2 linked regions of the Cricetulus griseus genome follow. The protein of the gene in region 1 interacts with the protein of each later gene in a biochemical or structural test. Links are inferred from orthologs where the notes say so. Each region holds a gene or a part of one and is shown in the gene's direction. Other genes may lie near its edges.

Evidence for each region.
Region 2: the proteins of Ncoa6 (region 1) and Rxra form a complex in vitro, tested with the Homo sapiens proteins (5 studies listed by BioGRID). The link is inferred for Cricetulus griseus from reciprocal best matches to the Homo sapiens genes NCOA6 and RXRA.

The regions. Positions count from the first base shown.
Region 1 is NC_048599.1:24,227,954-24,231,502, forward strand, and holds part of Ncoa6 (nuclear receptor coactivator 6), read left to right. Parts: intron 1-353; coding exon 354-3,347; intron 3,348-3,549. UniProt on the Homo sapiens protein: Nuclear receptor coactivator that directly binds nuclear receptors and stimulates the transcriptional activities in a hormone-dependent fashion. Coactivates expression in an agonist- and AF2-dependent manner.
Region 2 is NC_048599.1:139,356,310-139,360,543, forward strand, and holds the start of Rxra (retinoic acid receptor RXR-alpha), read left to right. Parts: upstream 1-1,422; 5' UTR 1,423-1,503; coding exon 1,504-1,531; intron 1,532-4,234. UniProt on the Homo sapiens protein: Receptor for retinoic acid that acts as a transcription factor.

The DNA.
Region 1 (3,549 bases):
GTTATTTCATACACACAGTGAATTACTGATTATTTCTACCTGAGACCTAAATACTGGGCAACCAGCCCTTTGCTGTTGATAGGGTTTTTCTCATTTATAGTGCATAATACAGTCTTAATGCAGTAATGCTTCATTCACAACGTAAACACCAAGGGGCTTCGTGTTCTTAATGCTTTGCTTTTTGCCTCCTTAAGCAGTGTGAACCCTTGCTTGTGTCAGACAATGGGAACAGCATGCCTGAGCTGTTTGTGCGCAGTCTGCTACCTATGAGTACTGCTTAGCTACACTCTAAAGGTAGCAAAGTTTTCTTGCTGAAAAATCTAACTTCCCTGATTTTGGGGGGCTTGTTTTAGGTTATCCTACTCAACCAGTTGAACAGAGGCCACTGCAACAGATGCCTCCTCAACTCATGCAGCATGTGGCACCCCCACCACAGCCACCACAGCAGCAGCCACAACCACAACTGCCTCAGCAGCAGCAGCAACAGCCACCACCACCACCTAGTCAGCCACAGTCTCAGCAACATCAGCAGCAGCAGCAACAAATGATGATGATGCTCATGATGCAGCAAGACCCTAAATCCATTAGGCTTCCAGTCTCCCAAAATGTCCACCCTCCACGGGGTCCTCTGAACCCAGACTCCCAGAGAATGCCCGTGCAGCAGAGTGGCAATGTACCTGTTATGGTTAGCTTGCAAGGACCTGCCTCTGTGCCACCATCACCTGATAAACAAAGAATCCCAATGTCTGTGAATACTCCATTGGGAAGTAATTCGAGGAAAATGGTATACCAGGAGAACCCACAGAATTCTTCTAGCTCTCCACTAGCAGAGTTGTCCTCACTTCCTGAAGCTAGTGGCAATGAAGTACCATCTGTTTCAGGAGGCCCAAATAACATGCCGTCACATTTAGTAGTTTCTCAGAATCAGTTAATGATGACAGGGCCCAAACCTGGACCATCTCCCCTTTCAGCAACTCAAGGTGCAACTCCCCAGCAACCTCCTGTAAATTCTTTGCCTAGCTCCCATGGCCACCACTTTCCAAATGTTGCTGCACCAACCCAGACATCTAGGCCTAAAACTCCAAACAGAGCCAGCCCCAGACCCTATTATCCTCAGACACCCAACAACCGCCCTCCCAGTACAGAACCTTCAGAAATAAGTCTGTCACCAGAAAGACTCAATGCCTCCATAGCAGGACTCTTCCCTCCACAGATTAATATTCCTTTACCTCCCAGGCCAAATTTAAATAGGGGCTTTGATCAACAGGGTTTAAATCCAACAACTCTGAAAGCCATCGGGCAAGCACCTTCAAATCTTACCATAAATAATCCTCCTAACTTTGCTGCCCCACAAGCTCATAAATTAGATTCTGTGGTGGTGAATTCTGGAAAACAGTCTAATCCTGGAACAACAAAACGGGCAAGTCCAAGTAACAGTCGCAGGTCTAGTCCAGGGTCCAGTAGGAAAACTACCCCAAGTCCTGGAAGGCAAAATTCAAAAGCCCCAAAACTTACTCTGGCTTCTCAACCAAGCACAACCCTGTTGCAGAACATGGAACTGCCTAGAAATGTATTGGTCTCCCCCACTCCAATTGCTAATCCCACTTTATCTGGAAGCTTTCCTAACAATAGTGGGCTTAATCCTCAGAATCCCAGCGTGCCTGTGCCTGTGCCTGCAGTGGGGGCTGTTCTTGAGGATAACAAAGAGAGTTTGAACGTTCCTCAGGACAATGATTGCCAGAATTCCCAGGGTAGGAAGGAGCAGGTAAATGTTGAGCTGAAAGTAGTCCCTATCCAAGAAGCTAAAATGGTTGTCCCTGAAGATCAGTCCAAAAAAGATGGGCAACCTTTGGATGCTAACAAACTCCCCAGTGTTGAAGAGAACAAAAATTTGATGTCTCCTGCCATGAGAGAAGCACCAACATCATTAAGCCAACTTCTTGACAACTCTGGAGCTCCTAATGTGACCATTAAACCCCCTGGGCTTACAGATCTGGAAGTAGCACCTCCAGTAGTTTCAGGGGAAGACCTCAAAAAAGCATCTGTCATTCCCACACTGCAGGATCCGCCTTCTAAAGAGCCCTCTAATTCCTTAAACTTACCTCACAGTAATGAGCCGTGTTCAACCCTTGCGCATCCAGAATTGAGTGAGGTCAGCTCTAATGTTGCACCAAGCATCCCTCCAGTAATGTCAAGGCCTGTCAGCTCTTCCTCCATTTCTACTCCTTTGCCCCCAAACCAAATAACTGTATTTGTTACTTCCAATCCCATAACCACTTCATCTAACACATCAGCAGCCCTGCCAACAAACTTGCATTCTGCCTTGATGTCAACAGTTGTCACAATGCCCAACGTGGGTAACAAAGTTATGGTTTCTGAGGGACAGTCCGCTGCTCAATCTAATGCCCGGCCTCAGTTCATTACACCTGTCTTTATCAATTCATCTTCAATTATTCAGGTTATGAAAGGATCACAGCCAAGCACAATTCCTGCAACCCCATTGACAACCAACAGTGGCCTGATGCCTCCCTCCGTCGCAGTTGTTGGACCTTTACACATACCTCAAAACATAAAATTTTCTTCAGCTCCTGTAGCACCTAATGTTCCCTCCAGCAGTCCTGCTCCAAACATACAGACAGGCCGGCCGTTGGTCCTTAGCTCACGTGCCACTCCTGTTCAGCTGCCTTCCCCTCCTTGTACATCCTCTCCAGTCGTCGCTCCTAATTCTTCTATCCAGCAAGTAAAAGAATTAAATCCAGATGAGGCTAGTCCTCAGATGAACACCTCAGCAGATCAGAGCACTCTGCTCTCTTCACAGTCCACCACAGTAGTTTCTCCCCTTTTGACCAATAGTCCAGGCTCCTCTGCCAATCGGCGAAGCCCGGTCTCATCCACTAAGGGCAAAGGAAAAGTGGACAAAATTGGCCAGATTTTGCTGACCAAGGCTTGTAAGAAAGTTACAGGCTCTCTGGAAAAAGGGGAAGAACAGTATGGTGCAGATGGAGAGACTGAAGGCCCAGGGCTAGAGACCACAACTCCTGGGCTAATGGGAACAGAGCAGTGCTCCACAGAGCTGGACAGTAAAACCCCAACACCCTCAGCACCCACGCTACTAAAAATGACCTCTAGCCCCATGGGCCCAAGCTCCACCTCAACAGGACCCATCTTACCTGGCGGTGCTCTCCCAACCAGTGTACGCTCAATAGTAACCACACTGGTACCCTCTGAGCTCATCTCCACAGCGCCAACCACAAAAGGCAATCATGGTGGCGTAGCATCTGAGCCACTTGCAGGTGGCCTAGTGGAAGAGAAGGTGGGACCTCATCCAGAGCTTCTACCCAGCATAGGTATGTACTTGAGCTTGGCATCAGCTCCTCAGGTCAGGGTTTTGTTGACCTGTCCCACAAAAGAGAAAGCATGAGCCCTTTTCTGCTTAGAGGAAGAAAAATGGCCATAGTTGTAGATTTACTTACTGAAAGTACATTGAAAAATATGCTTTTAAATCCCATATTCAGTTTATATTCATTAACATGGTTCCTTCCTAGCTTC
Region 2 (4,234 bases), about 120 Mb from region 1:
AGAGGAGTTGGTTTGTAGACAGCCCAGGACATTTAGTGCCCCTATTTTGCTTTTTCTTCTCTCTTGCCCTGGAAGGACAGGTTCCCCAGACCCCACAGGGCTGGCCTTCCTCTGGGACAGTTCTATAGACCTTCTGGGATGCTTCGAAGAAAAAGTGCAGTTCTGGAGGGCGGCAGTAGCGCACCCAGGCAGGGCTTTCCTTTTTTGTCTGGAGAGGAGGTGCTTTCTTTGGGCAGCACCCACGATGTGCCTGTGGACTTTGGTAAGCCCCTCTGCCAGGGCCTCCACGCTGGATGTTGGTCTGGCAGGCACCAGCTGGGAGTGGAGGGAGGCGGGACTGCCGGTTGCCTGGCTTGGCTCAGGGACACAGTGCGCTTAGGGAGGCTGGCTTGGCTCTGCTCAGGTAGCTCACACCCAAATCCGAATTCCAGCCGCCCAAGACGGCGGGCGGGTTGCGGAGGAGGCCCAGGCTCTCTCTGGGTAGGAGTGCTTCCTTTCGTTTTAAAACAAACAAATCATGAATTTAAAAGTCAGGGCAGAGAGCTGCCCAAGGTATATAAATAGCCTGGGGCCACTGGGCGATGTCCGAAGCGGGCCGCAGCGCCTCTCGAACCCCGCACCTCAGAAGAGGGCTGGGGCCGTCGGGGTAACACCGGTACGCGGACGCCCCCCCCCCCCGCCCCGGGTCTGGCCTTCGGTCGGTCAGATACCATGGTTCTCTCTGGGCCTCCCGCGTGTAAGTGGGAGGGCACTGGGGCATCCCCCTGCCCAGCTGCTTGCCTCTGGCTCATCACCCCTCCCCGGCCTCAGTTTCCCCATGTGTCCCTTGGGGTGCACGGGGCCTCAGCTCTCCTTTAGGGAGCCCTGCCAGACCATGGTCCCCGAGCGACCACGGCTGGCCTCTTTGTGTGTCCGCGCAGACAATGGCCCGGCCGCTGAGCTCTCCTCTTGGCCCCGCTCTCCTCCTCCTCCACCACGGGCCGCGGGGATTTTGGGCAGCCGGGGAGGGAAGGCTGCTTCAGCCGGCCGCCCCGCCCTCCTCCCACGCCGCCGCCCCACGGCTCCCGGGAACCCCTGGCAGACGCAAACTTGCAAGTTTGCAGGACGCTCACAACTCGGGGCCGGGCGGCGAGCGCGGGGCGGCGGCGACAGCGGCGGGCGGGGCGCGCACCGGCTGCGGGCGGGGCGAGTGGCGGCGGCGGCGCTGCGCCGAGTCCGCGCCCGTCGCGGGCCCCCCGCCGCTCCCCCCCGCTGCAGGCCGGGCCGGAGCGGGTCGCGGCGCGCGGCGGAGGCGCGGGCGGCGGACACGCGCGCCGGGCGCGCGCAGGCACAAGTAGTTTACATTGTTGGGCGACTTTTGCAACAACTCGCCGCGCCGCGGCCTCCGCGCGCCGCCGCCGCCGCCGCTGCCCGCCGCCCCGCCGCCGGGCCGGGCCGGCCGGCCGGGGGCCGCTGCGCTGTCGCCCTGCTGCTCCGCCGCCAGCCGGGAAGTTAGTCGCAGACATGGACACCAAACATTTCCTGCCGCTCGGTGAGTGCCGGCCGCGGCGGCGCGGGCGAGGGAGGGGGCCGGGGCTGGCGGGGCGGGGGCGCGTGCGCAGCGCGCGTGGGGGGTCCGGCCAGGCCCGCTGGGCCCCGCGCTGTGGCGGTACCGAGAGTTGGCGCGCCGGGCCCGGGGAGGCGAGTGGGCACAGGGCAACTTTTCCCGGGCCCGGGCTCGCGGCGGGAGAGGGCGAGGGCACCGGGCCTCTGACTTGTCGGGGAGCGGGAGTGGGCGGCGGGGCTGGGGCGAGCGGCAGGTTCGCTCAAGACGTGGAGAGGGGTCCCTCACGGTGCGCGTAGCGCGTCCGCAGAACCCCGGGGCGCCCAGCCTCAGCCGCCCAGAATCCGGCCACGCCGGAGGAGCAACTTCTGCGCTTGCTGGAGGGCTCCGGGCCTCCTTGGCACTGGGATGGGGGCGACGCGCTGGGCTCCGGGAGGCCACTGCTCCTCCGGGCTCGTCGGGCTGCTGTTTGGAGCAGGCCGCTGGCCCCTGGGTGTCTGTTGGCCCAGACGGAGTCTGCGATCTTGCCGTTCCCCGACAGCAGCCCAAACCTAGGTGGGCATGGTCACCCAGGGGCCTCTGATGAGGAGCATCAAACCCAGAACTGGGGCCCCACGCTCTGGCACCCCTAGTTGTTCTCCCTGGTATTTAGGGGGGGAGAACAGCCCATAGGCAGAAGAGTCCGTTTTCTTGTCTTGCTGCCCTCCCGCCAGCAGCTCTCAGTGACCGTCAGCCTGCCAACTCCGGGAGTGGAACCCAGCAGGGTCGGAGCCCCCCAATCCATTGCTCTCGCAGGGATTTTGGGAGCCAGAGGGAAACAGTGTAGAGAGACTTTATAAATGAGCTCTGGGAAGGATATTAATTTGGTGGTGAGGACAGCAGCCAGGCTGTCAGGCTGATGAAGAATTTGTGCTGAATGGAAATCAGGACAGCTGATTATGGACGAAGCTCCATGATGATCAGTGCCTCTTTGCTTGGCCATCCCCTATGAAGCTTGGGGTGCAGTTTTGCTACCCCTAGGGGTGATCAGAACCCAGCATGGCTTCCAGGATTTTTGGTGATTTGGGGAGGTGGCACCCCCTTGGCCCCAGCCTTCTTACAGCTCCCAGACAGGTCTGCTGCAGAGTGACTTTGATAGAGTGTTCCAAGTTTGTCAAAGCTTCAGACACTTCGTCCTTATGAGCGGTGCTGAAGACCATGGGGGCTCAGCTGAGCTTGAGGGTCTGGCTCCCAGGGTGTAAACTCTGTCCATGTTGTAGTTGAGAAACTGGCTTGGAGAGGCCGCACTTAGAGACTGTAAATGGTGGATTTGGCGTTGGAGCCCCCTGCCAAAGTCCACTGACAAGAAAGCTGTATTACTGTGGCATGTTGCTGTGGGGCCTGATGTGGGGTTGGTGGGACCCCTGAGACACCTCTTTCTCCTCCACCCAAGCCTTTATGTGTTCAGAGCTGGGTCCTTAGGACAGGAATGCTTTGCTTAGTCTCTGGCCTGGATCATGGCTAGGGCCTGGCAATACTTTGCCTAGATCCAGGGATGGGAAACAACATGCCAGGAGGGACAGAGCCCATTCTAGAAGTTGACACATACAGTTGCAGGGTGACTGGGCTAGAGTCTTCAACAAGAGGAGTTGTGTCTTGGAGCTGTTGTCCCCCCACAAGGAGACCCAGAGTCTTGGGTTCACAGAGTGGTGGCTCTCAGGACCAGCTTGTGGCCTCCCAGGCAGCTTGTGCCCCAGGGCTGAGTGGTGAGTCCTGGGCTCTGAATACATTTTATTTTTTACTAAGCTTGTGACCAGCTCTGAAGTCCAGTGCAGTTGAAGGTCCATTTAAGCAGCTACTTGCCTAAGCCCTTTTGTCAACACAGCCTAATCCCTCCTGGGGGCTGAGTGTCAGAGGATCTGGCTCATCCAGGGTCCCCACTGACAACTTAGGTTTGACTTGAAGTGGCTGGGAAGATTTGGCCGTCCTTTTTTCACTACCCTGCCACTTTTGGGGTCTGAGACTGAGGGCTCTTCCCAGTGTGCACTGTGTGGGGTTTGGTGGTTCAGATAGCCTCTGAGCCTCTCTCCACTGAGTTGATCTGTATGGGACAGATCTGAGAAGAAAGGGAGGATGGGGAATTTGCCCCAGGCAGTCCCTGTTTCCTGGCTTTGCTGCCCAGGGCTGGAGTTGGGGAGTGGGGTAAGGGCTCAGCCTGGCCTCAGCTTGGATGGTGGGACTGTAAGGCTGAGCCTGCAGAGTCCAAAGGTCCCAAGCCTGCACTGACCCTCTCAGCTGTGTGGCTCATTTGTATGTGAGGGTAACAGGTTTCCAGAAGTGGGGCTCTAGGCCTCCAACCACCCTCTTGTGTGGTTCTTGGGGATCTAGTGAACTTGGGGCCTGTGTGAGGGGGCTTTTAGTAACATTGGAGCCCTTGTGACCCAAAATAGAGCACATTCCGGTCGTCCCGAAATAACAGGGTCACATGACTCTCAGGAGGCTGGGCTTGGAGTCCAGCTTGGGCCTGACGAGGCAGTTCACGGTTAGGCCCCCAGCTGCCTACTGATTTGGGCATTTGTTTTGGGAAACTCTGGAGGGGACTCTGTTGTTGACTGAGGAAGTGTTAGGGTGAGAAAAAGTGACCCCCTGTTGGTGGTCTGACTGTGGTAGTGGCCTTGTCTGCCTGTATTCTCTTTTGGGCTGGTACTGTGT